Tamandua tetradactyla: one gene and its partners. The protein of the gene in region 3 purifies or fractionates together with the protein of the main gene of each other region. This does not show direct contact. Links are inferred from orthologs where the notes say so. Each region holds a gene or a part of one and is shown on either strand. Other genes may lie near its edges.

Region 1 (10,319 bases), on a different chromosome or scaffold from region 3:
ACATACAACAGAAGATGATTCAGCTGTAAAAAGGAATGAACTTCTAACACACGTGACAACATGAACGAACCTAAGACAGACATAAAAACATATTGTACGACACCACTTGTACGAAATATCCAGAATAAGCGAATTATAAAGACACAAAGTAGAGTAGAGGCAACAGGGGCAGGGGTGGGGAGGGGAGAAGGGGAAGGTATTACTAAACAGGTGCAGAGTTTGTGTTTGGGTGATGAAGCCCTTGGTAAGTGCTGGGTACTTAGCAAGTAACTAAATAAACATTAGCTCAAAAGTGACAGCTGCATGAATTTCTATCTCAAGTTCCGCTGCCACAGAGGTCAGAGGAACCGGGGAATTGCTCAAGGAAGGGCCACACAGTCAGAAGGACTCTGTCATAAGCAACCATCTGCTATTTCTTTCCCTGTTGCGCGAATCACGTGGACAGGGGAGAAAACAAAGAAGTGACCTCAGTTCAGGAGGTGTGGAGGTGGGTAGGAGGGGAAGGACGCAATTCACTGTCCACACTGCTCCTTTCCAACTTCCTGCCTCTGACATAAACCAGAGACAGCCTTCCTGGGTTGGAGCCAGGTGATGAAACAGGTGATCACTGTTTCTTTACAGGATTTAGAGCTGTCACAAAATCGGGGATACCACACCCACCACTCAAGTCTGCAAGATTGTCTGCAATCGGAGTGTGTTTTGTGATGAGAGCAAAGGAGCAGTCACAGAGGGCCGTGGCCAGTCCTGCCATGGGGGAGAGTGGTGTGGAAGGGGCAGGAGAAAGCGCCATGTGTGCAGACCACGTGCAAGGCGCCCGCCTCCCTCAGGGGCTGCACCTGCTCCTGTCTCTGGCAAACACCTGGGGAATGGGCTTCCTGCATGATGACCCCGCCACATTGTGAACGGGATATCATTGCACAACTGGTAAATATAAACGAGGACATTGATTCCAATGTCCCTTCGACATTCCCTCTCTTTTTTAAGCAATTTATTGAGATAACCTATATCAAATTTTCCATTTTAACTGTTTTAAGTGTGCAATTCAGCATCAAGAATTGCTTTCATAATGCTGTGCCACCATCATCACCATCCATGAGCAAGACTTTTTCATGACCCCAAACAGAAACGCTGCACCTATTAAGCAATAACTCCCCATTCTCCCTGCCTGCACCTCCGCCCCTGGTAACCTCTAATCTACTTTCTATTAACTTGCTTATCCTAGCTATTTCATGTAAGTGGAATCATACAATATTTGTCCTTTTGTATCTGACTTATTTCATTCAGCATAATGTCTTAAAGATTCATCCAAGCAGTAGCATATTACAGAACTTCATTCTTTTATGGCTGAATCATATTCAATTGTTTGGATGTTCTACATTTTGGTTATCCATTCATCCATTGATGGACACTTGGGTTGTTTTCTTCAGCCCTCTTTTGATGGCAAGAGAACTTAATTCCTTCTGTTCAGATGAAAGCAACAGTTGATGTTATCCACATCATAACAATGCAAACATGTACATACCATGTGCTTACCACATGCCAGGCACCATCCCTACACACTTCAGTGGCATTTCTGTACAGTCCTTACATCAACCCTACTAGGTGGCTATATTCAAGAGCCCCACCTGACAGGTGAGGAAACTGCTGTTCAGAGATATTCAGTAACCTGCACAGATTTGCACAGCCAGTAAGTGGCAAGGTCAACTTTAGAGCCAGGAAACCTAGCTCCAGAGTCTATGAACTTAACCATCTCGCTAAGTGGCCTCACTCCAAAGGGGAATGTTAGGCCTTGTGGGTGCTGGCTTGAGCTGTCTATCATTGTGGATGACTGTTGTAAATAACTAGAAAGGGTCTCTTCCATGTATTTTGTGCCCTCTGCATCGGGCTCTGAGCATCTCATTTCATCCTCAGGATAACCCTGCCAGCTAGAACAATCACTCTTTCACAGACGAATACACCAGTTTTGTAGAGATTGGGTAACTGGCCCAAGATGTTCAGGCTAGTAAGGGCTAGAGCCGGAAATCCCACAGGCCTGCCCAACCCAAATTCTGAACTCTTAAAGAGGTTAAGAGTTACAAGACTTCATTCTTTTATGGCTGAATCATATTCAACTGTTTGGATGTACTACATTTTGTTTATCCATTCATCCACTGATGGGCACTCGGGTTGTTTTCTTCAGCCCTCATTTGACAGCAAAAGATGACGTAGGCACCATCCCTACACACTTCAGTGGCATTGCTACAGTCCTTACATCAACACTACTAGGTGGCTACATTCAAGAGCCCCACCTGACAGGTGAGAAAACTGCTGTTCAGAGAGGTTCAGTAACCTGCACAGATTTGAACAGCCAGTAAGTGGCAAGGCCAAGTTTAGAGCCATCATCATCTTCTCATCAGGGATGATGTCCAAGAGATTCAAGCTTCAGAAGGGTTGGGTTGAACTAGATGACTTTTACAGTTCTAGCCAATCCAAGTTACTGAGCATCTTCATTTCCTTGGCTGCTCAAGCAAACACCATGCAATGAGTTGGTTTGGACAATTTGAATTTATTGGCCCACAGTTTTAAGGCTAAGAGAAATCTAAATCAAGGTATCATCAGACAGATGTTTTCTTCCTGAAGACTGGCATGTTGGAGCTGGGTGCTAGCAATCCTTGGTCCTTGGCTTGTCAGTCAAATGACAATGCACATGGCGGCCTTTCCTGGCCTCTGTATTCTCTTTCAGGTTCTGTTAAATTTCAGCTTCTTGCTCCCCATGGCTTTTTTTCTGCCTGAATTTCTTTCTGCTTACAAAGAACTCCAGTAATAGGATCAAGATTCATTCTTACTGAGGTGGGTCACACCTTAACTGAAGTAGCCACATTAAAAAGGCCCGACTTACTATGGGTTACACCAACAAGAAGGTATTACATTTAAGACCATGTTTTTTTGGGAGTACATACAGCTCCAAACCATCACTCTAAGGGATTAGAAATCTGAGATGTAAATGGGCAAACCCTTGAATGGAGTGGCTATACTAGTTACTAGGCCAAAAGCATTAGTCATCACGTTGCAGATTTTATATTTAAGGAAATATATCTCTTCTAGACATTTTTTTAACATTCCATGCTACTTCTCCTGAAAAGTTGCATGAGGAACAAAGAGCTAAGTGCAGTTTGTGCTGCCTCAAGCGGTCTGCCCTCTCTGCAGTGGTTATCAACACCCCCTTGGAGAGACAAGTACTGTCTTTCCTGGTGGTACCACCACCTTCTCTTGTAAGCCTCCCCCATGTGACATTCCTGGGCACCCTAGATTCCACCGACGAAATTCAGCAGTTTTCAGTTTTCATCTTGATTAACCCATCTGCAGTTTTTAGCACAGCCATCACCCCCTGCTCCTCGACTCATGGGCTTCATCTGGCTTTTGGATGCCACCTCTCTTGATTTCCAACCTACCCCTCCTTGGCAATCTCTCCCAATCTCATGGCTCAAAACAACTGAGGTTTTCCAATGTATACCTCCAGCAATGACCTCTCCTCTGAACTCCAGACTCATAAATCCACCTACTTGGCAGTCACTTGGATGTCTAATGGGCACTTGAAACTGAGTATGTCCCAGAATTAGTCCCTACTCTTCAGGTGTCTCCAGCATACTCCCCTCCTGGTCTTCTCCATCTCAGTTAAGGGCAGCTCCATTCTTCTCCAGCCTTTGAATCATCCCTGACTCCCCTTTCTCACACATTTCACTTGTCAAAAAATCCCATCAGCTCCACTTTCAAACTATGCCCAGAATCCAACCATTTCTTATTACCTCCATGGCTACTTTCTCTGCCCAACCCCCCACCATCTCTCAGTAACCTCAGGAGTATCTGTCCTCTCTCCTCTTTGGATTAATCTAAACACAGTAGCCAGAGTAATCATGTAAAAACATCAGATTAGGTCATGCCTTTCCTCTACTGAAAACTCTCTAATAGTTTCCTTCCTACTGGAGTCAAGGTAAAACCTTCCACAGGCTCCCAGGCCCTATACCACCATCCTACCATCCATGACCTTATCTCCTCCCTTTTGCCCCTTGCTAGCTCTGTTCCAGCTACAGTGTCTCCTGGCCATTCCTCCAACATGCCACACCCTCTCACCCCAGGGTCTCTGCACTTCCTTCTCTCACTGCTGAAAACATTTTTCTCTAATCTCCACTGGCTCCTTCCTCAGGTCTTTCAGTTCTTTGCTCAAATGTCACTTTCTCAATAAAACCTCCCTGACTCCTCTATTTATCTCTTCCTCCCCAACATTCCCCATCTTCCTTTCCTATTTTGGTTTCCTTTATAGCACTAACCCCCATCTAACATATTAGAGCTATTATTTAGCTTGTTCATTGCCTCTTTGTTACAAAGTAAGCTCCATGAGGGCAGGAGTTTTAGCTGTTCTGTTCAGGCTCTATCCCCAGTTGCTTACGACAGTGACCTAGTAGGTACACATACTAGACAGCACATAGTAGGTGCTCAATAGATGTTATGAACTGAATCAGGGCATGACCAGCCTTAGGGCAGCACTTCTGTGGTTGCAAAGCAGTTAAGGGATGGGCTGTGGAGCCTCAAGGCCCCAGAGCTACCATGGATTAGCCGTGTGGTAGGTAGGAGGCGCTTTTCTGTCTCTGCAACTGTTTTGCTTTTCCTCTGCAAAAAATGCAGGTGCTGAAAGTTAAGATTCCCTGTAGCCACCCCCCACCTTTTTTTTCTTTCTTAATTTTACTGTGGTAACATAAAACAAAATTTTCTATTTTAACCTTTTTTTTTTAACATGGGCAGGCACTGGGAATCAAACCCAGGTCTGCGTCATGGCAGGCAAAAATTCTGCCTGCTGAGCCACCGTGGCCTGCCCTATTTTAAGCATTTTAAGTGTATAATTCAGTGGCACTAATTATATTCACAATATTATGCTGTCATCATCACTGTCCATTACCAAAACCTTTTCATCACCTCCAACAGAAACTCTGCACCAGTAAAGCAAAAACTCCCCATTTTCCTCTCCCACCAGCCTCTGCTAACCTCTAATCTGTCTCCATGCATTTGCTCATTCTAGATATTTCATATAAGTGGAATCATACAATATTTGTCCTTTCGTGTCTGGCTTAGCTCATAAACTCAACGTAACGTTTGAACGCTTCACGCACGTTGTGGTATGGACCAGCACTTCATTCCTTCCAACAGCTTTCAAATTATAGGACTCTATAAAGAGGAAGAGGCCTGAATTAAGGATTCACACCTGGGCCATCAGGGCAGGGGCATCCACTTCTGAGGTCGGTCAGAAAAACCAGGTAAACAAGCCCAGCAGGGGTCACCGGCGATGGAAGGGCAGGGGGCGCTGCGACCCGGCCACGCTGGGCTGCGGGGATGGCTTCTTCACTTACTAGCTGTGCAATACTGAGCGAGTGACTTAACCTTTCTGAACTTCTGCTTTCTAGTTTGAAAAATACAGAAATCAATCAATCAGTCAATCACGACTGTACCTCTCGGGCAGGACTGTTGTGAGGACTGAAGGAGATCAGATGGGCGGCCCCGAGTGACGCTCCACAAACGCAAATGGCTGTGCTCCGCCCACACCGAGGCGTGTCCGGGCGACTGCGGGGTGCGGGGAGCCAAGAGCACTGCAATATCAGGCAGTTTGAGTGAAATCCCCGCGGGCGGGGTTGGCGTGGGGGGCCTGGGAGGGACCCGAGCGTGGGGGGCGGGGACTCGGCGCCTATAGGCTCCGCCAAGACACACCCCTCCGGTACGCCGCTTGGACCAGGTCCGCTCTTAACGGTGCAGACCTTCGGCGCGCTTGGGTCGAACTCTTGCTGCCTTGTCGCCGCCTGCACCTGCCGCCCAGCGCGCCCCAGTCGGGTCCCATCATGACGGACCAGGCGCCCTTCGACACTAATGTGAACACCCTGACCCGCTTCGTCATGGAGGAAGGCAGGAAGGCCCGCGGCACGGGCGAGATGACCCAGCTGCTCAACTCGCTCTGCACGGCGGTCAAAGCCATCTCCACCGCCGTGCGCAAGGCGGGCATCGCGCACCTGTGAGTCAGGTCTCCGGCTGCCTGGGGTCGCGTCCTGTCTGTCTGTCTGTCAGGCTGGGGATCTCCGACACCTGGCTCTCTGGCCACCTGCTGTCAGCCTTCGTCTCTCTGACATCTAAGAGTCTCTCACTCTCTCTGATAGTTCCTCTCTCTCCAGAAGCCTGCTTAGCCGCACTCAAACCCAGTCGTCCACCCTTAACCTTGGAGGGACCCAACTGGGGGTGTTGGGGGTGGGGTGGGGCGAGGAGAGTCTGTCTCCCAGGTCGAAACCCGCACCATCCTGCACCCCTTCTACTTGGACTGAGCAACCTGCCTTGACAACATCTCTCAGCTCCTCCAGATGCAACAGACTGGCCAGGGATGGCACGTGGCCGGCCCAAGTGCCCCATCCTAGTCTGGGATCATCTCACACAGGAACGTGTGGAGTGGATGCCTTACTTTCTGGTTCTCTTTTTTGGGATTGGAGTCCCAAGTCAGGTTTCCAACCCACTATCTCTTTGACTCTAAACCCGGGCAGGTGGGAGGGAGCCTGCCTGCACAGAGCTGCAGAGCTGTTTTCATGCAGTGTTCTGGAGGCTGGCCCTGCCTGGGGCAATTGCTGTGTTGTCCCACAAACACAGAAAACTCACCCAGACAGGTTAAAAACTTCTATCCAATGCAGTAATGGTGTGTGCAGCCCTTGCCCAAAAGCTGTGTGTAAATGAAAGAGTTTTAAATGAGCTAGGCTATGAATGTACCTCAGTTGTTGGCATTCCCAGGAATTACTTAGGAGGATCCTCTTAAAATGTGGCTGGGGGTGGGGCCTGAGATTCTGCATTTCTAACACATTTAGAGTGTTCTACTTGTGGGGCCACAACTCTAAGAAGCAAGGACTTACGAGGCATGGTGACTCAAAGGGTACCTTCTGTGAAGTTTCCTGTAAGTCACACAAATACCTTCTAATTTATCCTGGTGCACTAAATTATTTTATTGACTGGCCGTTGCTGTAACTGAAGGGTCCCTGGGTTTTCAGATTGCCCACACTGCTTCCTAACATTTCTCATGATTATGAGCATTGTTTTTTAAATGATGCATGATGCTCATAGCTGATCTAAAAAAAAGTGCAACCTTCCTACTTTGGAATGCATTTTCTACATTTATTAAAACGGCCCCTCTCCCTACACACACACACACACACACACACACACACACACACACACACACACACACACACACACACACACACACAAACTTCCTGCAACCTGGATTCCTTTTCAGGCAGCCCGTTTGGTACCAGAGTATGGGCTGGTAGAGCTAACTCTTCAGAAAGGAGCGCAAGATCACATGTTTATTTTCAGATATCAAGCAGGGTAAGAGAAATTGGAACAGGTATAATAGAAAGGTGGTAGCTCGTTACTAATTTCATCTTTGACCTTTCTTAATAACATATTTCTAAGGATTCTTTGCTTTAGGAAACATGTTCAGTTAAAATCTCACTTCAGATTTCATTTTCGAGTATCGGTGGCCTCATGACTGAGAAAAGGGAGCTTTTTTTAAAAAAAGAACTTATCATGTCTTCTATTTTTTAAATGTTTCAGTACCTTTCAGAAACCCATAGAGTCTCAGAAACTCAGGATATGTTTTGAGGTGTATCTTTCCTATCTTCTAAGTAACCTCAGTGTTTTCTGATTGCTTTAATGTTTTTATGAACTCTGAACACTTGGAGAGAGGTGTGTTTTCCCTGATCAGATAATGCCTTCCTTGTGTATATGACTATGAGAGTGGATTCTGGACAAAGGGTGCTCATTTTAGCTGCATGAAATATGTGTATTTTTAAACTAGATAGTTGTGATTAATTGTTGTTACTATTATAATTTAATCAAGAAATTTCATTCACTGACAAAAATTCAAACCATTCAAAAAACATAAAGCAATAAGTGAAATTTGTCCATTCCCTGGATTTTCCACTGTTAGTAATGTATGAGTTATTTTTCCCAGATATTTCTTAATAATCAGAAAAATTTACACATGGACATATATTTTACATATGCTTACATGTAAATATCAAACAAAATGGGATCACACTTAACATACATTTCTGCAGTTTGCTTTTACCATTCAACAGTCTTATAATGAGCATCTTTCGCATCAGGACATGTAAATCTACTTCCCCCCTTTTAAAGGCTGTGTAATATTCCACTGCCTGGACCTATTGCAAAGTTATTTTATGACTGTCTTTGGGCATTTAGGTTTTCACTAGTATTTGCCCATTATAAATAGCATTGTACCCTTGGAACTGGTGTCAATGTGTAGTCATGATGGTGGCTGGTGGGAGAGAACCAGAAACCTGTGCACTTAAATACTCCTTTGGGAAAGGAAGAATTTGGCTCTTCTCCATATGACATGTAGTCAGGCTGGCAGCAATCAAACATGATCTCGAGTCAGGCCTCCAAATTACATTCATTACAGGCTTTGATTTCCCAGATGAAAAGCCCAGAGTGCCTGCAAAAAGATTGTTAGTGCTGGGAACTTGCCCTAGAAGGATATTCACCCAGAGGGACAGGATGATGGCAGATTTGCAGTGACTTCACAGAAACATGTTTAAGGAGCATGACGATGACATCTCATCGAGGAAACATCAGAAATTGAGGCGTACAGCCAGATTTCCTTTCTCTCCATCTCTCATTTTTGCCTACAGCTGCCACTTTCATAGTTCTAGTAAGATGTTCATGGAATGCTAGAGTTTTACAATGAAAGAGACTTAGATGTCACCTAGTCCTGTCCGTCCTTTTACAGCTGAGGACACCCACTGAAGGCCAGGGAAGGTGTGACCTGGATGTCCCAGAGCCCCAGCTCAGGGCTCTTTCTGCCACACCACATGTTTCTTCCTTTGTTTTTAAGAAATCACTGACAACTCACCAAACTCTAAATCTCATCATTAATTACATCTTTGACGTGAATTCAGAACTGTTTCCCAAGGAGCCATTGCCCTTTGACATACATGTTCCTGGAGTCTTAACTAGGTGTTCCCAGGCTCTCTTCCACCCACTCTCAGGAGAGAAGGTATGCAGATGCCAGCGACCGATAGCCAGGCTTCTGGTTCTTTAATAAGAACGCTTAGCGGCCCGTCAAGTCATAAAGCAGATCTGATAAATTCATGGTTCGTATGTCAAAATTCCGGGTGTTCCCCCACTTCTTCATTTTCATTGCTTTGGGGGAAAGCGGTTCTCTGGTGGCTTCAGCTTTTGCTTTAGGTTTGTGGAGTTGACTTTCCTTTGTACATGTTTCTGAATACACTGAAGAATTTGGTGGTTCCATTCAATTCAACAAAATGTTATTTAGGGGCTGCAAGGGTAGTTCAATGGTAGAATTCTTGCCTGCTGTGCAGGAGACCCAGGTTCGATTCCCAGCCCATGCACTTCCCCCCAAAAAACAAAACAAGCTGACAAAAGAAAGAAAAAACAAATGCACAAAAATTCAACAATTGGTGCAGTAATAACAGGCTACTCACTTGGAAAAAAGAATGAAGTGTGACCCCTGCCATATAGCATACCAAAAAGAAAAAGTTATTGAACACTCACAATTTACAAAGTTCTAGAAGAGACTGAGACATGAGAAAGACACAGTGCTTATTCTGTAGAAAAATAAGATGCAGAGTGAGTTACGACACACAATAGAAATTCTGATAGAGAATCTCTATCAGAGGTGCCAAAAGACTATATCATAGAGGTGTCCAAAATACTATGTGGGTGCTTACGATTGTGAAGGAAGAGGTGCATTTGAAATAGACAGTAAAAGGTGGTCATAATGCCTGATGGCTAGAAAGCATTTCAGGCTGACAGTTATGTAAGCAAGGGTACTGAGTTGGGAGTGATTCTTTTTGGAAAAATTGCTCATTCAGTTTGAAGCGTAGGGTACACGTGATGGTGGATTGGGGAGGGGGGCTGTTAAATTGCGAGTGGATTGGGGAATCATCAGGTGGCAAGGGTGAATACTTGATACTCAAGGAGCTGGTCCTAGGACTGAGAGAAGGGCCATTAAAAAATGAGACAAAAACAGAATTCAAAAGGAGGAGCAGGTTTGGGGAGGCTGGAAGGGTGAGACGATGTTTCCAACATTTTGGAAACTTTGAACTTGACATGTTAGAGGGCTATCGCAGTTGGAGATGATGTCCTGCAGTTGGACATGCCAGCCTGGAACTCGGACATGAAAAACTACAGATTTGGCTGGATTTAGGCATATTTGCCCAGAGGCGAGAGGAAGAAGAAAAGAAAATCGGGACTGGGTTTAGAGGAGCAGGAACATG
Region 2 (10,091 bases), on a different chromosome or scaffold from region 3:
AGTTGAGAAGGGGTGGACTGTCATGTGTCAGGTTCATGTGTCAGTTTGGCCAAGTGGTGGTACCTGTTTGTCTGGTTGGACAAGTGCTGGCCTGTCTTTTGCTATGAGGACATTTCATAGAATTAAGTCATGATCAGGTCAGCTACATCCACAGCTGATTCTATTTGTAATCAGCCAAGGGGAGCGTCTTCTTTAATGAGTGATGTTTAATCTAATCACTGGAAGCCTTTTAAGGAGGATTCAGAAGAGACAGTTTCTCTTCCTGCTTCGGTTGGCCAGGCTCTCCTGTGGAGTTCATCCAGATCCTCCATCAGAATCATCAGCTTCACAGCCTGCCCTGTGGATTCTGGACTCTACGTTCCCACGGTTGCGTGAGACACTATTATAAATTTTATATTTACAAATATTTCTTGTTGATTCTGTTTCTCTAGAGAACCCTAACTAATACAAACATAAAATTAGTTATCCTTTTCCAGAGGCCTATTCCAGGTTTATTTTGAAGGGTACCAATACATGAATATTAAATTAAATAAAGAAAGCCTCATAGCAAATAAGAAGACTGATATGTGAACTACTTCTTTCACAGGTCCATGAGAAAGACTAAATCTAGGTACAGTTTAGAAGAAATAAAATTTGTCTTGGTGTTATTGAGGTCTTCACTGAATCCCTTCTCACACTTCCTTTACTCAGTCTCACCAACACATCAAGGGACTTGCTTCCCAAGATTTACAACTTGACTCTATAAATGACTTAAAGACTGTCATATTAAGATGTAAATGTCTGTTTTAGGTAAACACACCTTAACTATCATTCTCACTATATAGCACAAAATATAAATTAATTAGAAAAATTAAGTAATCATTTAATTAGAAGAATTTTAGTCTTCAGCCTGCATTCAGATGCAGGTGGTGAGTGAAAAGGGATAGAGTAATGAGGCTTTTGAAGAATATTTTTGAGGATAATAGGTCTTCACTTGAGATCAAACCAGTTAAGTGGGCTTCTATTTTACCTACACTTAACCTAGACTTTCCCACAAGATACTCCTTATTGCATTTTTCTAAAATTACCAAGAAAGGTTACTTGAAGAGTCATTGGCAAAAATACCCAAGGATAGTTCCCAGAAGCTAAAAACAAGAGCACCAGTGACAAGAGCTCTTTAAAAGACCACATTCCTATCACCAAAATATAATCAACCTACGCAATTTAAAACTGAAAGCTAATTTTACCTCCTCATATAGACTTTGAAACTGACACAAAAGGACTTTTCTAATTCTACTTTTGCTTTCCTTAAACTCTTCTCCATACTGCAGCAAAAGCAAAAAATAAATCAGATCTTATCACTCCTGTGCATAACAATCTCCAGTGATTTTCTATCACACTCAAAATAAAATCCAAAATTCTTGCCACGAAATATAGGGACCCTAATTACTCCCTCCCTCACTATGCCTCAGCCATTTCGGAGTTCTCTGTTCCTAAACAAGCCAAGTTCACTTCCATCCCCGGGCTTCCGTTCTTGACTGGCATACTCTTCCCCCAGATTTGTGTGTGTGTGTGTGTGTGTGTGTGTGTGCTTGTTAATAAAGCTTTCTTGGAACACCCATTGGTTTACCTATTTTCTGGGGCTGCTTTTGCACTGCCGTGGACAATTTGAAAAACCAGGACAGACAGTATTTGGTACTGTTGTCATTTTGCACTGCTGCTCAGTGCAAAACCATTCCTAGTAAAGCATTTATAACTCAGTTTTGGCTCTTGGCTTGCAAGGCCTGAATATTTACTACCTGGGCCTTTACAGAAAAAGTTTGCTAACTTTTGACCTAAGATCAAAGTTGAGACACACTTGGTCATTATAAATATTATAGAATAGAGCTAGTAGTCCACTTTTTTTATGGTGAAAAATAACATATACACAGAAAAGCAATAAACTTCAAAGCACATCACAACAATCAGTTATAGAACAGATTTCAGAGTTTGGTATGGGTTACAGTTCCACAATTTTAGGTTTTTCCTTCTGGCTGCTCCAAAACACTGGAGATGAAAATAATATTAATATAATGATTCAGGAGTCATACTCATTTGTTAAATCCTATCTTCTCCTTTATAACTCCACCTTCTCCTTTGATTTTTTAAAAAAAAATTTTATTGATATATATTATATATTCACATACCATGTAATCACCCAGAATGTACAATCATTGGTTCACAATATCATCATATAGCTGTGCATTTATCATCACAATTGACTTTTTTTTTTTGTTTTTTTGTGAAAATAACATATACACAAAGAAGTAATAAATTTCAAAGTACAGCGCAACAATTAGTCATAGAACAGATTTCTGAGTTTGGTATGGATTACAATTCCACAATTTTAGATTTTTACTTCTAGCTGCTCTAAGAATACTGGAGACTAAATGAAATATCAAAATAATGATTTAGCAATCATACTCATTTGTTAAACCCTACCTTCTCTGTATAACACCACTATTACCTTTGATCTTTCTCCCACTCTTTAGGGGTATTTGGGCTATGCCCAGTCTAACCTTTTCATGTTGGAAGGGGCTGTCATAATATGGGATGGGGGATGGAACTAGCTGATGTTCCGGTGAGGCTGGCCTCTCTGCATTTCAGGACTTATCTTTCCCAAGGACCCATTTGGAGGTTTTAGTTTTCTGGAAAGTTACCCTAGTGCATGGAGACTTTGTAGAATCTTATATAATACCCTACATGTTCTTTAGGATTGGCAGGAGTGGTTTTGGTTGGGGTTTGGCAAGTTATGTTAGGCAGCAATGTCTAACTGAAGCTTGCATAAGAGTGACCCCCAGAGTAGACTCTTGATTCTATTTGAATTCTCTCAGCCACTGATAACCTTATTTGTTAAACTCCTTTTTCTCCTTTTTGTCAGAATCACAGGCCAGGCTCAACCCTGGGAATCATCTCCCATGCCACCAGGTAGACATTCACCCCTGGATGTCATGTCCACGTAGGGGGGAGGGCAATGATTACACTTACAGAGTTGGGCTTGGAGAGAGTGACATCACATCTAAGCAACAACAGAAGTCCTCCAGAAGTAACTCTTAGGCATACCTATAGGTAGGCTAAGCTTCTTTGCTATGTAAATAAGCTTCCCAAGAGCAAGCCTCAAGATTAAGAGCTTGGTCTATTGATGTGGTGTCCCTAATGTTTGGCACAGTATCCAGGGTTTCCCCAGTGGTAAAATTTAATAGTCCCATAATTTTTCTTCCATCCAAAGTCCAAAAGTATTGGACTTTGCCAACACTTTTTGATTATCTGCTTAATATACTCTGGGATGTATCCAGGCATTACATTATGCCCTACAGGATTAAAGGCCCTCATTCTTATTCTGGGCTGCCTGTATCTGAATTGCTTAAATGATCTATCCACACAGGTTGAGACAGATTACGTACTATTCCCCCAGATCTTTATGTGGTGGCTTCCTCCTGTCATTAAGGCCTCAGCCCAGCTGCCATCTCCTCTAACAGACTATCTGACCAACCCATGCTGAGTAACCTCTCCTTTGACCCTTCTGTCTCCTAGCCTGCCTGGGTCGTACTTTTCTCCACATCCTTATTACTTATCCCTCTCTGCAATGACCTTGCTTGCATTCTGTTGGGCCGGTGTAAGCTCCATGAAAACTGTATCCCCTCTTCACCACAATATCCCCAGTCTCTACAGCAGTGCCTAGCATATTCCAGGAGATCAATACCAATTGATTGAATAAATGCATGGTGGCCCAAGTTCTATAATATAAAAATTATTTTAAAAAAATCATAAAATACAAAAATAGAGTTTGGAGTCCTTTTGAAGAAGTAACAAAGACAATTTAGAGCCAATGTTGCGGGTGACTTCTTTACTAAATTGGATGTTTTTTGTGATATTCAAAACAGGACAGGACATGCTTTTTAAAATTTAGTCTTCATTATTAACATTTTCTCCATCACTTTCTCAAGTCTAGACCATCAACAAAGCAATAAGTGAAGCCCTAATTTGTGGCACATGTGCAAATACTTCTTCCATGGCTAACTCCATGGTGTAAATACTCCTTCCATGGCTAATTTCAAATTCCAACATGAAGTCACTGAATACAGAGTTGGGTAAAGATGTGCAGTAATAACTTATAGAGAATTTCCACCACACAGACAAAATAGGCATAAATAACCACAAAAGCATATATAATAATAAAAAGTATTAAAATATATAAAAGTGATGCATTTCTAGTATTCATTACTGTTCTAGTTTGCAAGCTGCCAGAATGCAATATACCAGAAACATAATGGCTTTTAAAAAGAAGAATTTATTAAGTTGCATGTTTATATGCTCTTAAGACTATGAAAATGTCCAAATTAAAGCAAGGCTGTAGAAATGTCCAATCTAAGGCATCTAGGGAAATATACTTTGGTTCAAGAAGGCTGATGACATTCAGAGTTTCTCTTTCAACTGGAAAGGCACATGGCGAACATGTGGACACCTGCTAGATTCCTCTTCAGGCTTCTTGTTTCGTAATGATCCCCAGGCTGTTTTCCTTCTTCATCTACAAATGTCTCTGGCTGCGTGGGCTCTATAACTTTTTCTAAATGGTTCCCTCTTAAAGGGCTCCAGCAAGTAACCCACCTTGAATGGATGGAGACACATCTCCATGAAAACCATCTAATCAAAAGTTACCACCCATAATTAAGTGGTCACATCTCCATGGAAATAATCAAAAAGCTCCCACCCAGCAATACTGAATGCGGATTAAAAACTTGGCTTTTCTGGGGTCCACAACAAATTCAAATCGGCACAATTACCTTAGTTTTAAAATAAAGCCATTTAATAAAAATTTATAAAATTTAATTTTTAATAATGGCCGTGTTAACAAACTGCCATCAAAATTCCTAAAATTTAAGTTGGCTCTCGTGAGCCAGTACAGGCCAGCTCCAACACACTGCTCTCTCTTAGTTTAGTGCTTTTTCTACTGATTGTCCATACTGCTTTTATTACTCACATGTAAAAAATGCAGTGATGATCTGTAGGGTACAGGAGAAAACCTGGGTGCCAGTCAAATTTTTCCCTTCTGTAAAGGATGGGAACGACAGTCCTTGCCCTATCTACCCACAAGGCTTGGATTTAATTGGTTGGCCTGTGAGAGAGTGCTTTGTAAACTGCCGAGCAGGAAACAGATAAAAATGGCTTATTATGATGATCATTTCATCACTGCTTTTCAGCCAGGCCTCCATTGTTAAGGGTGCAAAATGTGTTGCAGTTTTCAGAGGTATGGTTTAATTTTGGATTTTCCATAATGCCTGGACTGTATATTAAACACTCAGAAAGGATGTACTCAGATGTCCACTCAAAATCTTACTGATCCTTACTTAAGATAACCATATTGGGAGAAAAAAGCTATCTCTTTTTTTTTTTTCAAAGCTTATAGTTTACTTATCATGTCTAAAGGAACCTGTTCTTGGAGGTTGTGGCATGCCTCTCTATTTTCATAATTGAGCAAGAGTCACTTGATTTTTAAACTTGATTCTTTGAAGCCTCTGTGCTTTTTTGCCTGGACCATTTCACCAAGTTGCTTTGTATGGATTGTGTCCCACTGTGCAATGTGTTTTCCTAACTGGAAGTTGGATATCCCAAATATCCTAAGTTGGAACCCCAACTAAACTTTGTCGACTACAAAATTTTTGCCTTGAGTTTGCTGAGTCTCTCTTTGGGCTGTATGGGCAAACTTTTTCTGCCAAGCTCTTTCTCACTTCAGGCCCTTTTCCCATGCCAATCCCTCTGCATGGAAAGCTCTCAATTATTTTCTGGGCTCACCTCTTTTCATCCTTCAACTCAAATGCTACCTCCTTAGAAAGGACTGCCCTGAACACCTGTTACAGGTCACCTCCTTTATCTATTTTTTATTCCCATCACAGCAACTGATCACAATGAGCGATTTCCTTGTCTTTTTTTCTTCTTCTTCTTCATGCATATCTTTCATTATAATGTCAGCTCCTTGGGGACAGGGACCTTGCCCACTGATGTCATTATCTGTCCCCAGTGTCCAGCATAGTGCATGGCACACAGTAACTACCTGTTGAACTGACTTGTCTGACGAGATCCACACCAACGGATGTAGGCACATACATTTATCTTGAGGCAAGAGCCTACCATAAAGACCAGCCAGGACTTTGTGTGTGGCTCTCATAATAGCAACATTTTTCTCTGGGCTCAGGAGAAGGCACAGCGGCAGCAAGGATGGCTGGCTCCTCTCTGCCCCACCCTGACAGAGCTGCCCTAGTGATGTCACACAGGACAGGATTCTCTGTTCCTTTTAATTCTATGACAGCCTCCTAAACAGCTAAATTTTTCATGCCACGATATGCTGGGGAGGGAGGGAGGAAAGAAAACTGGGGTGTGGGGGGTTTACACACCCTAAACCACATTAGTTTTGGGGCACTATTTAAGTGGGTAGTAGAAGCTGCAATGAGGACTAAGCTAAAGAAGAAAGAGAAGAGAAAAATGGGGAAAAGAAGGATAAAGGATATGAAAAAAGAACAGAAGACAGGGAGAAGAACGATAAGGATAAAAGAGAGAACAGGAGGACAAATGAAGAGGATTTTTGAGAAAGGAAAACATGAAACAGGTAGTGAAGGTAGAAGAGGAAGAACTGAACCTCCCTCTTGGCTTTGTAACTTTTGTGTAGTGGCTGGCTTTAGCGTGAATGGAGGGATGGCCCGGGGGAAGGGAGAGTCTCAGGCAGCCCCTCCAGAGGTCATTTAAATTGTTTGAGATTATCCTGAGAGACCTGGGTAAGGCTGTCTCAAGGGTGACTCTCCTGGATGCATTCACAATAGTAAACCTCTTCTTTAAAATAAGACTTATGGAGGAATGGGGGTCTGAGTCTTGCTGGACTATTCAGACTCCCCACCACAGTTCCCTTCCCCACCCCAAACCTTACAACTACTGGCCTAATTGCATGGATTTAAATTCAAGACTTTAAAGCTAATCTTTGATAAAATCTTTGTTAACTGAAATACAAAGAGATTTCCAAAGTTTAATAACATACCCATAGAAATTCCTAAAATACAGTTACGGCAATATATTCCCTGCTGCTGTTCTACAAAACCTACTATGAACGTCTCAGACTTGTGTGGGAGGCCCAAGCTAAGCTTTGTAGCTCAAAAGAGAAGAAAATCTTCAACTCTTTTTTTCCCAATGTTTTTCACTTCATTTAGGTTTCTCCCCTTAGTTTACACTTTAATAACAGGGAAGGGGATATTATAATATCAAGCATATTTCATTAGAAACAGTTAAGATTTGCTCCAAATTTAAAACATTGATCTTACAATCCATGAATTTTCCATTTCTTACCAAAATGTCCATGCAAACTGTGTCCTGAAATAAGAGATTGCAGGAAGTTGTGGATTTATTGGCAGTCTGTGGTACACTGTGCATATTCCTTAAAAATCTATCTTTACGCTCATATTTTACTTCCCCCCCTTTCCTGCTACAATTGGCCCAGATTCTCCTACCAGTGTACAGCAGAGTGAAGAAAGGTGAGGACATCTAAAGGAAGGAAGCAGAAAAATGGACAAAATCTTCAATTTCTCTGTGGTCCCCTGCTGTCATTGATGAGCCAGCTTCTGCCTCGTGAATTAGAAAATCAGTTTTTTTTAACGAGCTCTCCAAATCCTGGTCACCACCTGGGCTCTTCTATTTTGGACCATTAATGAGTCCAGTCGCATGCTAATCATGCTGTTTCGTGTCTGAAGAATTAAGGGTTTCAATAGGTAGAAATTCAAAGATCTTTGATCCAATTTCTTTTCTTGGCAGGTATATGGGGAAGCAATTAAGAATTATGTCCTCAGATGATACTGGGACAAAATTCTTAAGTGAATTTCATTTTTACTTCATATTCCTGGAAATGATCCATTTACATCTTACTCGAAGAAATTCTAATCCCAAAGATGTTGGGTAGAGTGATTTTTGGGTTCCCCAAAGATTTGGTCTGTCACTGACTGGAGCTACTATTTGATCCCGTTGTGAGGTCTCAAAGCGGAGGGCACAGAAGTTCCCCCACAAGTCACGTTGCAAAAAATGAAGACGGCTTTTAGAACTTTAGAGGTACTAAATAATGCTTGCTGAATGAAAGAATAAGTTGCTTTTGATCTAAGAGTTGGGGCAACAAAGTGATTACAGGATATACAAAGTGGCTGGGTGCAAAATGCTACATTGAACTCCTGAGATAAAATGGAGAGGGCTCATCACAAACTTACCTTGGCTAGGCTCAATTTGGCTAGTGTTTTCAGGTATTCTTTTATACGTCTTTCCCTTCAGCAATAACGCACTCAGGTTTTCTTTGTATGTGTCAGGACATCTTCTAAATTTTTCAGGAATCTTTTCTTTTAGCTTGTTTCTGAGAATGTGGTGTAGGTCAAATCCACGAACAGGTTAAGCCTCTAACGAGAAGGAAAGGCCCCCCAACCAATGGGAACGCGAGTTGGTGATGTACTGCTCCCTAGTTCTGATTCATTGGTCGCCTAGGGTTTGTCATTCTATCCCCGGCGTCTGCAAGCGGCGTGGGTCGGGTTTTCCCTAGGCTAGCTAGCTAAACTGGATTTTGGCCGCCTGCACGTGCAACTTCAATTAAGTTGAGCTCATCTCTAACTCTTAATGGAAGCAGCTGCTATGTTTCTGATTATCCTCCAGATTTTTGGAAAAATCCTCTGTTCCCTTAATCTCATTGGAGGTCGTTGGAGGTTCGCTGTGACAAAATCACGTGACCAACATGTGCAAATAAATACCCTGGAATCCCATGAGCTACGGCGGAAAGCCTGCCAGAAACTCGGGGCATGTGCCCCGTGCGTGCATCATGTGCGCTCTGGGTCGGTGGGTGGGTGGGGGCAGGGTACGTGTGTGCCCGCCCTACGGGGCGCAAAGTGCGTGGCCGGAGCCCGTCCGTGGGGCTCCCGGGGACACTCGGGGAAGAGGGTCTGCGGTCGCGGGGCACTGGGAGAGAGGGGGTCGGCCACGCCGCGGGACCGGCCGCGCCTCGGAGCGGCAGCGGCGAGAGGAAAAAGCTCCGGAGCTGACCTCGGCCCTGCGCGGGCAGCACCCTAGCGGGGCCCGCGGAGAGGTGGCGAGTGGGATGGGGATCTGCAGGCAGGTGGACGCGCCCAGCAGCGAGGCGCAGCCGCCCGAGGGGCGAGGGGTAACCTTCCGAGGGCCGGCTGGGGAAAGGCTCTAGAGCCTCCCAGACCCCGAACGGTTGCGCAGTCTTGTTCAGTCTCCGCCGCTGGGGGATCCAGGGCCGGATAATGGTTCGGAGCGGAGATCGGAAGGCTCCCGTCGCCCGGACAGCTAGGCGACGGCGTCGGCGGGAGAAGCTGGGGAGGTCAGTGACGTCACTCGCGGCCGCCCTCAACCGCGCGCCAGCGCTCGCCGCAGTGCCTGCCCCACGACATCCGGGTCTTTTCAGCTGCTCCGCCGCGCCGCAGTTGGAGCGGCGGCGGAGCCGGCAGGGTGGGGCGAGCGCAGGAGTGGAGGAGGGGCGGCGCCGTCGTGAGCGCGCCTGCGCGGGGGCGCGCTAGAGGCAGCGGCGGCGGCGCTGGAGACGGGAGCGCGCGTGGGAGCGAGGGAACAGCGGTCTCCGCGCCGGTCCGGCCCGGAGCCTCGGGAACTCGGGCGGCCGCAGCTCGGGACCCGGTGGTTGGGGAGGGGGGGTGGGGGGGCGCCAGGCAGGTGGGGAGCGAAAGCGATGACTCCTCGGCTCTTCTTCCTCCGGGACCCGTCCTCCGCCTCCCGCTCCAACGCCCGGATGATCTGAGCCGCGAGGGCGCCGAGAGCCGGGGGCCTGGACGCAGCCGGCTCCTCCCCTCCTCCGCCCCCTCCCCGGCCGCCGCCGCCTCGGCCGACCTGGGACCTGCCCGCCCGCGGCTGCTCGGGGTAAGCGCGGCGCTGGGGCCGAGGGCGGGCGGGCGGGCGGCGCGGGCCTGCTCGGCGGCGAAGCCAGGCCTGGGGCCTGTAAACAAGCCGGGCGTCTGCCCGGCCGCTCCGGGGAGGAGACGCGGCGACTCCACCCCCTGGCCCGGCCTCCTCCTCCTCCTCCTCCG
Region 3 (9,795 bases):
AAGGTGGGGGGCCGCTCCGGCGTGGCCGGGCAGCCTTCAGCCTCCGCAGCAGGCTCACCTTGCCGTCTCGCACGGCATAGAAGGCCAGCGCCCGGTCGGCGTACTCCAGGCAGATGCCCACGGTGGGCGAGAAGGGCTGGGAGAGGGGCATCTCCAGCCCGTGGAACCAAATTGAGAAGCTGCGTCCGTTCCACTGCAGGCAGCAGGAGTGGGCGTTGCGGCCCAGCCGGCCCCGGTCGTAGGGCTCTTGTGGGGAGAAGTCCTCGGCCATGACCCCCATGCTGACCCAGCCCTCGATGATCTCCACCTCCCAGTAGTAGGTGCCCCGGTCGAGGGCACCCTCGCCCAGCACCTGCTCGCAGTGGGTGAAGCGGGTGGGCGACTCGGGGTAGTTGATGGGACACAGTACCCGCTTGACGCCTTTGGTTCCAAAAAGCTGCAGGAATTTGTCCGCCGTGTCGCTGTCCAAGTCCACGATGTAGGCAACTGCTCTCGCGGGCGGGACAGAGATGCAGGGCTCAGATGGGACGGCCTCTCTCCCAGGCACCCGTCTCCCCCATACACGGGCCCCTCTCCTTCTTTGCTGGGGACCACTCCATGAGCTAACCTAGTTCGCCCCAAGGACGAGGGAAGGGAATGGGAGCCAGGCAGCCAGGGGAGGGCCTAGGTGCCCACTTACACTTTAGAAAGTAGTCCCTGGGGGCTTCGCTCTCCAGGTGATTGGTGCTGTCAGGGGCCTGGGACTCGGCATCAGCTGCAGAGGAGACAGTGGGGACAGGTCGCTACAGACTGCCCAAGATGTTGCAACTGGTGCACCCGCACTGGCCCCACTCTAAACCAGAGACCACAGTTCCCGCTCCTGCCCTTCTCCCAGGGTCCTGAGTCACCTGGCGACAGGTACACGCCAGAATATGGCACCCAGTGTCCCCATGCATGCCTGGTCCCTGGGTTCTGAGCCTTGTGCCACTTGCCCCCTGGATCCTAGTCCCCTCTGTAGCTAGGGGGTGGGCAAGAGAAAGGGCCCTCTGTGGCCAAACTGACTTGTCACCACACAGAGGTGGCTCCAGGCACTGGCAGGATTTGAGCCAGGCACAGTTTCCATCCTCCGCTTCTGGATGGGCACCAGGCTTGGGGGTGCCCGGGCAGACTGGGAAAGGGTGAGTCAGCCAGGCGTGGGGGAGCACCCACCTTCCGAGCCTGGCTTCTGCAGGCTGTCCTCATTGCTTCCCAGCCCCTGCAGCTGCTCCCACTGGCTGGTGCAGGCCGCAGCCAGCACATCTCTCACCGCCTGGACGGCTTGGCTCGACTTGGTGAAGCTCAGCTCCCTCGGGGGGCTGGGCCCAGGGCCGCACCCCTCTTCTAGCGCCAGCCGTAGGGCCAGGAGCTCCTGTGCCAGACAGATGCCGGTTAAGGTTGTGCTGGCTCCAGCTCTGCCCGGCGGGGGTGGGACAGCTCTGCCAGGAGGCTGGGTCAGTTCCTCGAGGCCACGTGCTTGGGGGCAGTTTCTCCATGCCCGCCGCCCCTGCCTCCCTCTGCCTCCCACCTTTCCCACCGGCAGCCCCCTCACCTGCAAGAAGCTGACTGAATCTGCCTCCGGGACCTGGCTGAGGTTGTGGCGGGCACGGCTGAGCCGGCTGCGCTGCTCCTCCTGCCGCCGCAGGTCCCCCTGCGAGTGGGCCAGCATGGCGGCCTCCCCCTCCTCGATGAAGCCCCGCACCTCTGCCTGGAAGCCCTGCAGGGTGGCCGCGGCCTCGGCAAACAGCCTGCTTACCCTCTCCCGCTCTGCTGCAGCCGCGCTCTGCACGGGACGGCATTGGGGGTGGGCATGAGGGCAGGGTATGGTCCTGGGCTTCGGCTCCATCCTCCCCACCCTGCCCACACCTCTCGGGGGCACCCAGGGACCCAGCCGAGCCTGCCCAGATCCCCAGGGCAGGGGAGACCCTCCGTTCAGTGGGGCTGGGGGAGGTGGCGGCTCTGACCTTGATGAGGGCCACGGTGCGCCGGGACTGGGCGATGCCGGCACCCAGCTCGTCCATACGGTCGTCTGCAGCGCTCAGGACTTGGGGCTGCTCAGCCTGTGGGTGACACCGTCCGTGAATCCAGGGTCTGGCAGAGGCCAGAGGCCAGCACCCAGGGCCCGCAGGAGAGAGAAGAGGGGGGAACCAGAGTGGTGTCTGTGCCTGGGTGAGACTAGCAGTGGCCATGATGTCGTGACCGTGCCAGAGGTGCCACTCCCAGATGCCCATGGACAGGAGGCCGGCGTGGTCGTCCGCCCTCCCTGCCTGACACAGGGCATGTCCAGGGCCAGGCATGGACCCTGCTGTTGCTCAAATTCACTTGAGAACCTCCTCCAGTGGGAAGAGAGGCCAAGGATGAAAGTGTGCCAGGGCGACTGCACAAGTGGGCCTGCCACTGTTCTGGGGATCACTGACCACCCCCCCCAGGTCTGTATCCCCAATGTAGGCCTGAAAACAGGGGATTCCGAGTAAATCCCCTGGGTCTTATGAGTCACTGCTCCAGGCAGGAGAGACGGAAAATCCCAAGGCCGGAGGCACCAAGACCCGGCTGGAAGCCAAAGGAAACTGGGGGCGGGAAGGAGAGGATAGGGCTGCACACATGCTCGCGGCGGATCTGCTGGACAGAGCAGAGCTGTGTGCCGGCCTCCGCCTCTCTTCTGCGGCACTCCTGTCCCCGCCACACCCATCCCACCCCCTGCCTCAGCCCAGGGCCAGTTTCAGCTGGAACCGGCATGCGAACCGGCATGCGCAGGAGCGCATCAGCCTCGCCGCCGGCATCAGCCTCCCGGGCACCCCACGGGCCTGGCCCAGCCCCGTCCTGGCTCAAACCTACATCGACCCTGGCTCAGGTCCCCCGCCCTCCCTTCGCGTCCTGCGTGTCCTCCCTCCCCCATTCCCATCTCCACCACCGCGAGAAGGTGGTAATTTCAAGACAAGGATCCTTTCCGAGCCGGGAAGGAGGGACTGGGGGTGTCCACGGCCCCCTCCCCCCCCCCCCGCCAGCTCGCGCGCCGCCACCGTCCAGCCCCTGCCTGCGCAAGGCGTCCGCGCCCACCTCCCGGAGCGCGCGCTCCTGCTCCAGCGGCACCAGGTCGTGGCCGCGGTGCTCCAGGGCGGCGGCGCAGGCCTCGCACAGGCACACGCGCTCCGTGCGGCAGTAACGCTCGAGCGGCCGCAGGTGGCGCGGGCACAGGCTCTCCTCCAGTCGGCGCAGCGGCGGCACCAGGCGGTGTCCGCGCAGCGCGGGGCTGCGCTCGTGCGGGCCCAGGTGTGCTGGGCAGAAGGAGGCGAGGCAGGTGAGGCAGGAGAGCGCAGCGGGCAGGGCGGCGCCCTCGGGACACGCGTCGCAGCGCACTGGCTCTTCGGCCTCCGGCCACGGCTCGGGGGCGCAGGGAGCCGACGGCTCGGGGGCGCTGGGCAGCACGCTGGGCGCCGCGGGCTTCGGGGCCGGGGCCGGGGCCGGGCTGGAGGCCGGGCTGGAGCCGGGCCCGGGGCCCGAGCCCTGGCGGAGCTGCAGCAGCTCGGACAGCGTGTGGTTCTTGCGGAGCTGCAGGCCGTCGGGGAAGGGCTCCTGGCACAGTGGGCAGCGCGCTGAGCCCCCCGGCCCGCCGGCACCTCCTGCGCCGCGGTGCGGCCAGAGCGCGCCCAGGCAGGCGAGGCAGAAGTTGTGGCCGCAGGGCAGGGTCACCGGCTCCCGCAGCGGCTCCAGGCAGATGGGGCAGCCGAAGGGCCCGCTGCCGTCCATGGCTCCGCGGCCGCCGGGGGCACCGCCTGTTCTGCTCCCGCCTGGGAGGGACCCGGGCCGTTTGCGCTTCAGCGCCGCCCCCCAGGGACGGCGGCCAAAAGTTCGGCCCCCGCCCGCCCCCTGACTCGGACCGCCCCCCCAGCGCCGCCCGCCCGCCCCAGCACAGCCGGCCCGGGCCCCAGACAGCGCCGGCCCGCCCTTCAGGGCCTCGCCTGACTCCCAGGGGCTGTGGGCGGCCGCCCCCAACTGCATAAGGAGGTGGGGGTCAGGGGGCGGGGTCAGAAAATGGGGTGGGGGGGCATGCTGGAAGGAGACTGGAGAGGAGGTCCCACCTGGGCCGGGCCTTGGTGCTCCACATCCCTCCCCGGCGGGTTAGCAAAGTTTCTTAGCTGCTGACTGCAGAGAAGGCTAACTGCTGACGTCCCTATGTTTTTGCCCCTTAGCGACTCTATTTACCCCGGTGGGTAACTCGGAGCATTTCTCAATCTGAAATGGGAAGTTGACGTCATCCTCCCCGTCGCTGGGTGAGGAATTCAGTTCCGGCCCCTGGATGCTGGTGGCCCCTGCAAAGGGGCTGGGTCTGGGGCTGGATCCCCATGTCGGACGCTTGTTAAGGCTCAGCCAGCTTGCACTTGAGCGGGGACATTTTTTTTTTTTAATTTTTTTAAATACCAAAAAACACAAAGCAAATGCAGACATTCCTATTTTGATCATTCCGTTCTACATATATAATCAGTAATTCATAATATCATCACATACTTGCATAGGCATCATCATAATCATTTCTTGAAACATTTGCATCTCTTCAGAAAAAGAAATAAAACGAAAACAGAAAAAAAATTTATACATACCATACCCCTTACCCCTCCCTTTCATTGATCACTAGCATTTCTATGTACTAAATTTATTTTAACATTCGTTCCCCCATTATTTATTTTTATTCCATATGTTCTACTCATTTCTTGACAAGGTAGATAAAAGGATCTTCAGACACAAGGTTTTCACCATCACGCAGTCACATTGTGAAAGCTGTATCATTATTCAGTCATCCTCAAGAAACATGGCTACTGGAACACAGCTCTACATTTTCAGGCAGTTCCCTCCAGCCTCTCCACTACATCCTGAATCACAAGGTGATATCTACTTAATACCTAAGAATAACCTCCAGAATAACCCCTCCACTCTGTTTGGAATCTCTCAGCCATTGGCACTTTATCCCATTTCACTCTTACCCCTTTTGATCCAGAAGGTTCTCTCAATCCCTTGGTGCTGAGTCTCAGCTCATTCTAGGGTTTTTCTCAATCCCTTGATGCCGAGTCTCAGCTTATTCTAGGATTTCTGTCCCACGTTGCCAGGAAGGTCCACACCCCTGGGAGTCATGTCCCACGTAGACAGGGGGAGGGGGGTGAGTTTGCTTGTTGTGTTGGCAAGAGAGAGAGGCCACATCTGAGCAACAAAAGAGGTTGAGCCCAGACATTTTATCGGGTATAAATTATACCTCTAATATTGATTTAAAAAAAAAAAAAAAGAATGGCAACACAATAAGTTAGTGTTTGGCTTATAATCCAAAACCTAAAATAAATATCCATGAATCCACACACTGGTACAAAAATGATTGGATAAATTCATAAATGTGGGCAATTACACCCATTTCTCCATAATTCCAAATAATTTATGTAGGTACTCTAAGCTGGAACTTAACTTCCCACTCCTTAAAGGTGGGCTGCACCTGGTGACTTCCTTCCAGACAGTACAGCACAGAGTCCAAAGGTACCTCAGCCAGGTGCTTCAGCATCAGCCCTGATGGCATGTTGATAGTAATTCCCTTGATATCGTTAAGTAAAATAAAATGGCTACCTGTGTTCTGCATGGCCAGAGAAGACCCCCTTTCAGAGAATGACTTTTCCAGAAACGCTTGACCTGCAGGGATTTTCAGAAAACAAAACAAAACAAAAGCAGAACATGGTCTGCAGGGACGCTGATAAAAAATACCTGGTAATAAAACTAGCTTGGGTCCTGTGGACAAGCAGGCCACCCTAACCTACATGAGACCCCCCTATGCAGGACGGCAACTTCATGTCAGCCGACCAGAACCCCATAGGAGCTCTTCCTTCCACTGCTTGGGGGAGCTCCCTTCAACTTTGGGAATGGGGGGGCACCTGCTTCATGAATGCCCAGTAGAGCTGTGAGATCCTAAATTGTATGAAAAGGTTTTCTTTTATTAGCATGATATGAGAATGGCCCCTTTGCCTCTGTGGCCAATATCTGAGTGGCACCTCTCAAAACTGTCCAGGTCATCAAAAATAGGGTGGGTCTGAGAAACTGTCACAGCCAAGAGGAGCCTAAGCAGATTTGATGACTAAATCTGGGGTAGATCCAGGACAGAAAAGAGACAGAATAAAAAGTAAAGAAGTTTGACTAAACTATGGATTTTAGTTCGTAAGAATGTGTCAGTATTGGGTCCTTTATTGTGATAAATGTAACGTAGTAATATAAGATGCTTACAAAAGGGCAAAAGAGATGGGGTGTGGGGTAAGTCTCCATATTTTCTTTCCAATTTTTCTGTACATTTGAAGTTTTCTAAAGTTAAAAGTTTTGTTTTAAAACTATAGAATAGTTGAGGCAATTCTTCCCACACCCAGGCCCACGGACCTCCTGCAGATGAGAACACCAAGTGTAGGGAGTAAATGGATGTTTGGGGGTTGCAGGGGAAGCTGGAGTCCAGCTAGAGGAGGGGCTTCATTTTCATCATGCCCGGGACCCCTTTAGCAGTTTGGATTCCTTTTTCAAAGTAATGCTTTTGAATGTACAACCCAAAATGTGTAGAACTCCACCTGAGCTGTACAGGCTACTTCTAGATTTTGAGATGCTGTGTTATATATGCATAACCTGGTATTTCCCTGAAACTTTGGCTACCTGTGTGACATCTAAAACTCAGAGTTGGTGTTCTTCAGCTCTGCAAGTCAGCATTGCTACATACAACACCTGTTAAAGGAACTGAGAAAGAGATCTGGCTTCAATTAGAGATGAGAGTGCAGCTGACATCTGTTCAGGACCAAGATAAATCAGACTGCAGGGTAAAGGGTGATATTGTCTGTATTTCAGAACTTCACCTACTGTATGAGACCAAAGGAAGAGGGGTTCGTTGTGTCCCAAACCTGATTTTTTTGTAGCATATAACCTAACTCAACCTGTCTGGAAAGCTCATTGGAACATCCCCAACACATGGAGCCCAGAATGGGAATGAGGGCTTGTAATTCTGTATAGCTTAATGTAATACCTGGATACAACCCAGAGTATGGTGGGCAGATAATTAAAATGTATTGACAAAGTCCCTTGAGGAATTGGAGAAAAAATGTGAAACTATTAAACTTTCCCACTGGGGAAAACCCTGATATTGTCTCAAACATTAGAGACTCCCATGTCAATAAACCACGCCCTTGATCTTGAGGCTTACTCTTATGAAACATTTCTGTGGTGGAGAAGCTAAGCCTACCTATAGTTATGCCTAAGAGTTACTTCCAGAAAGACTCTTTTGTTGCTCAGGTGTGGCCTCTTTCTCTCTAAGCCCAACTCTGCGAGGAAAATCATTACCCGCCTCCCCCCACTGCCCATGGGACATAACATCCAGGTATAAAAGTCTCCCTGGCAATGTGGAACATGACTCCCAGGGATGACCCTGACTCTAGCACCATGGGACTGACAATGCCCTCCTGACAAAAAGGGGGAAAAGAAATAAAATAAGGTATCAGTGGTTAAGAGAGTTCAAATAGAGTCAAAAAGCTATTCTACTATATATTGCTGTTTGCCATGGCTTGCCAACCACCAACCAAAACCATTCCTGTCAACCCTAAGGAATACCTAGGGCTCTGTCTGAGAGTCTACAAAAGTTTCATGCACTGTGATTACTTTCCAGAAACCTACAATCTCTAGATGGTTCCTAGGCAGATAAGTCCTAAAACCCAGAGGGGCCAGCCTCTCCGGAACATCAATTAGTTCCATCCCCCTATCCCATATTGTCAACACCCTTTTTCTTTTTTGATTTTTTAAAACTTTTTTATTGTATAATATAATATATATACAAAGCAAAGAAATAAAAAAGCAATAGTTTTCTAAGCACTCTTCAACAAGTACTTACAGGACAGATCCCAGAGTTTGTCATGGGCTACCATACCTTCATCTCATATTTTTCCTTCTAGCTGCTCCAGAATATAGGAGGCTAGAAGAAACAGATTTTATCATCAAAATTGACTTCTTTTTTCCTTTTTTGTGAAAAAAATAACATATATACAAAAACACAATAAATATCAAAGCACAGTGCAACAATTATTTTTAGAACAGATTTCATAGTTTGGTATGGGTTACAATTCGACAATTTTAGGTTTTTACTTCGAGCTGCTCTAAGATACTGGAAAATAAAAGAAATAGCAATGTAATGATTCAGCAATCATACTCATTTGTTAAACCCTACCTTCTCTGTATAATTCCACCATCACCTTTTATCTTTCTCCCCCTCTTTAGGGGTATTTGGGCTATGCCCATTCTAACTTTTTCATGTTGGGAGGGGCTGTCGATAATAAGGGGTAGAGAGATGGAACTAGCTGATGTTCTGGAGAGGTTGGCCCCTGTGGGTTTCAGGACTTATCTGGTCCAGGGACCCATTTGTAGGTTGTAGATTTTTGGAAAGTTACTCTAGTGCATGGAACCTTTGTAGAATCTTATATATTGCCCTAGGTGTTCTTTAGGATTGGCAGAATGGTTTTGGTTGGGGTTTGGCAAGTTACGAGAGGTAGCATTGTCTAACTGAAGCTTGCATAAGAGTGACCTCTGGAGTAGCCTCTTGACTCTATTTGGACTCTCTCAGGCACTGATATTTTATTAATTACTCTTCTTTTCCCCCTTTTGGCCTTTGTGGATCCCATGGTCGACACCCCTTTTCAACATGAAAATTTTAGAATGGGCATAGCCCAAATACACCTAAAGGTTGGGAGAAGGATCAAAAGAGGAGGAGGAGTTATAACAGAGAAGATAGGATTTAACCAATGAGTTATGACTGCTGAGTCATTATATTGATATTTCTTTTAGTCTCCAGTGTCTTAGAGCAGCTAGAAGGAAAAGCCTGAAATTGTAGAACTGTAACCCATACCAAACTTTGAAATCTGTTCTATAACTACTTGTTACAATGTACTTCAAAGTTTATTGCTTTTTTTTTTGTATTTATGTTATATTTCACAATAAAGAAATGTCTTTAAAAATGTGTACGGCTCCAAAGGAAACTAATCACATTGCAGTATAGTCACAGAATATTAAGAAAGCAAATTTGTGGTAGAGTAATATATGTGTTTCTTTAACACTGTAAATAACAAGAACGGGTGGAGATCTGATTCTTACTGTGTTGAAATCATGATGACCATCAATTATATTTCAGGTTTTCTGGAACCTTGTAATGTACTATGAAAACAACTGTAAATTCCATTGATGACAAAGTCATAGGTATACTGCTAATATTACTGGAAAGAATTGTTGGATGTCAGCTAGAGGACAGTGGAAATAAAGATGGGACTTTTAGATTCAGAAGGTCGAATTTAGAAGCTGCTGCTCAGAGCCCCTGACATCTCCCCTGGAAGGAGGGAAGACAGCAAAGATGTAGAAAATGCCTCCCACTGGCCTCAGCGGGCCTTGCCTCGTTGAATCTCATGATGCTTTGAGGAAGCTCAGAAAGGCCGCGTGACCTGCCCACAGCCACACAGTGGCGGGCATTCTCCTTCTTCTGAGCCCACACTCCTTCCTCTGCAGAGGGAGGGAAACAAGGAGACGCTGCTCCAGTATCCTCCTTGGCTTCTCCCAGACAAGAAGAGGCCCTGGGTAGACGGAGGGACTGAAGAGGTAGGCCGGGGAAAGGACCACTCTAGGAACCGGGTCAAAGGCTGTTCATTCAGGATTCTGTGGCCAACGGAGACCTGGCAGGGTCTGCCATGGGAAAGGTCAGGGGTCATCACATCTAGGGGAATTGTCACCCCAGCAAGGGAACAC

The links.
Region 1: the proteins of TRIM47 (region 3) and FBP1 purify together in Homo sapiens (affinity purification with western blotting; 3 studies listed by BioGRID). This does not show direct contact. The link is inferred for Tamandua tetradactyla from reciprocal best matches to the Homo sapiens genes TRIM47 and FBP1.
Region 2: the proteins of TRIM47 (region 3) and PPM1A purify together in Homo sapiens (affinity purification with western blotting; 3 studies listed by BioGRID, with this or other methods). This does not show direct contact. The link is inferred for Tamandua tetradactyla from reciprocal best matches to the Homo sapiens genes TRIM47 and PPM1A.

The regions. Positions count from the first base shown.
Region 1 is NC_135328.1:121,203,743-121,214,061, reverse strand, and holds the start of FBP1 (fructose-1,6-bisphosphatase 1), read left to right. Parts: upstream 1-5,704; 5' UTR 5,705-5,864; coding exon 5,865-6,034; intron 6,035-10,319. UniProt on the Homo sapiens protein: Catalyzes the hydrolysis of fructose 1,6-bisphosphate to fructose 6-phosphate in the presence of divalent cations, acting as a rate-limiting enzyme in gluconeogenesis. Plays a role in regulating glucose sensing and insulin secretion of pancreatic beta-cells.
Region 2 is NC_135338.1:4,804,778-4,814,868, reverse strand, and holds the start of PPM1A (protein phosphatase 1A), read left to right. Parts: upstream 1-6,329; 5' UTR 6,330-6,348; coding exon 6,349-6,622; intron 6,623-8,255; exon of another isoform or gene 8,256-8,965; intron 8,966-9,580; exon of another isoform or gene 9,581-9,924; intron 9,925-10,091. UniProt on the Homo sapiens protein: Enzyme with a broad specificity. Negatively regulates TGF-beta signaling through dephosphorylating SMAD2 and SMAD3, resulting in their dissociation from SMAD4, nuclear export of the SMADs and termination of the TGF-beta-mediated signaling.
Region 3 is NC_135332.1:16,242,849-16,252,643, forward strand, and holds the start of TRIM47 (E3 ubiquitin-protein ligase TRIM47), read right to left. Parts: upstream 3,794-9,795; 5' UTR 3,763-3,793; coding exon 3,073-3,762; intron 2,837-3,072; exon of another isoform or gene 2,313-2,836; coding exon of another isoform or gene 2,076-2,312; coding exon 1,980-2,075; intron 1,799-1,979; coding exon 1,568-1,798; intron 1,388-1,567; coding exon 1,189-1,387; intron 755-1,188; coding exon 680-754; intron 487-679; coding exon 1-486. UniProt on the Homo sapiens protein: E3 ubiquitin-protein ligase that mediates the ubiquitination and proteasomal degradation of CYLD.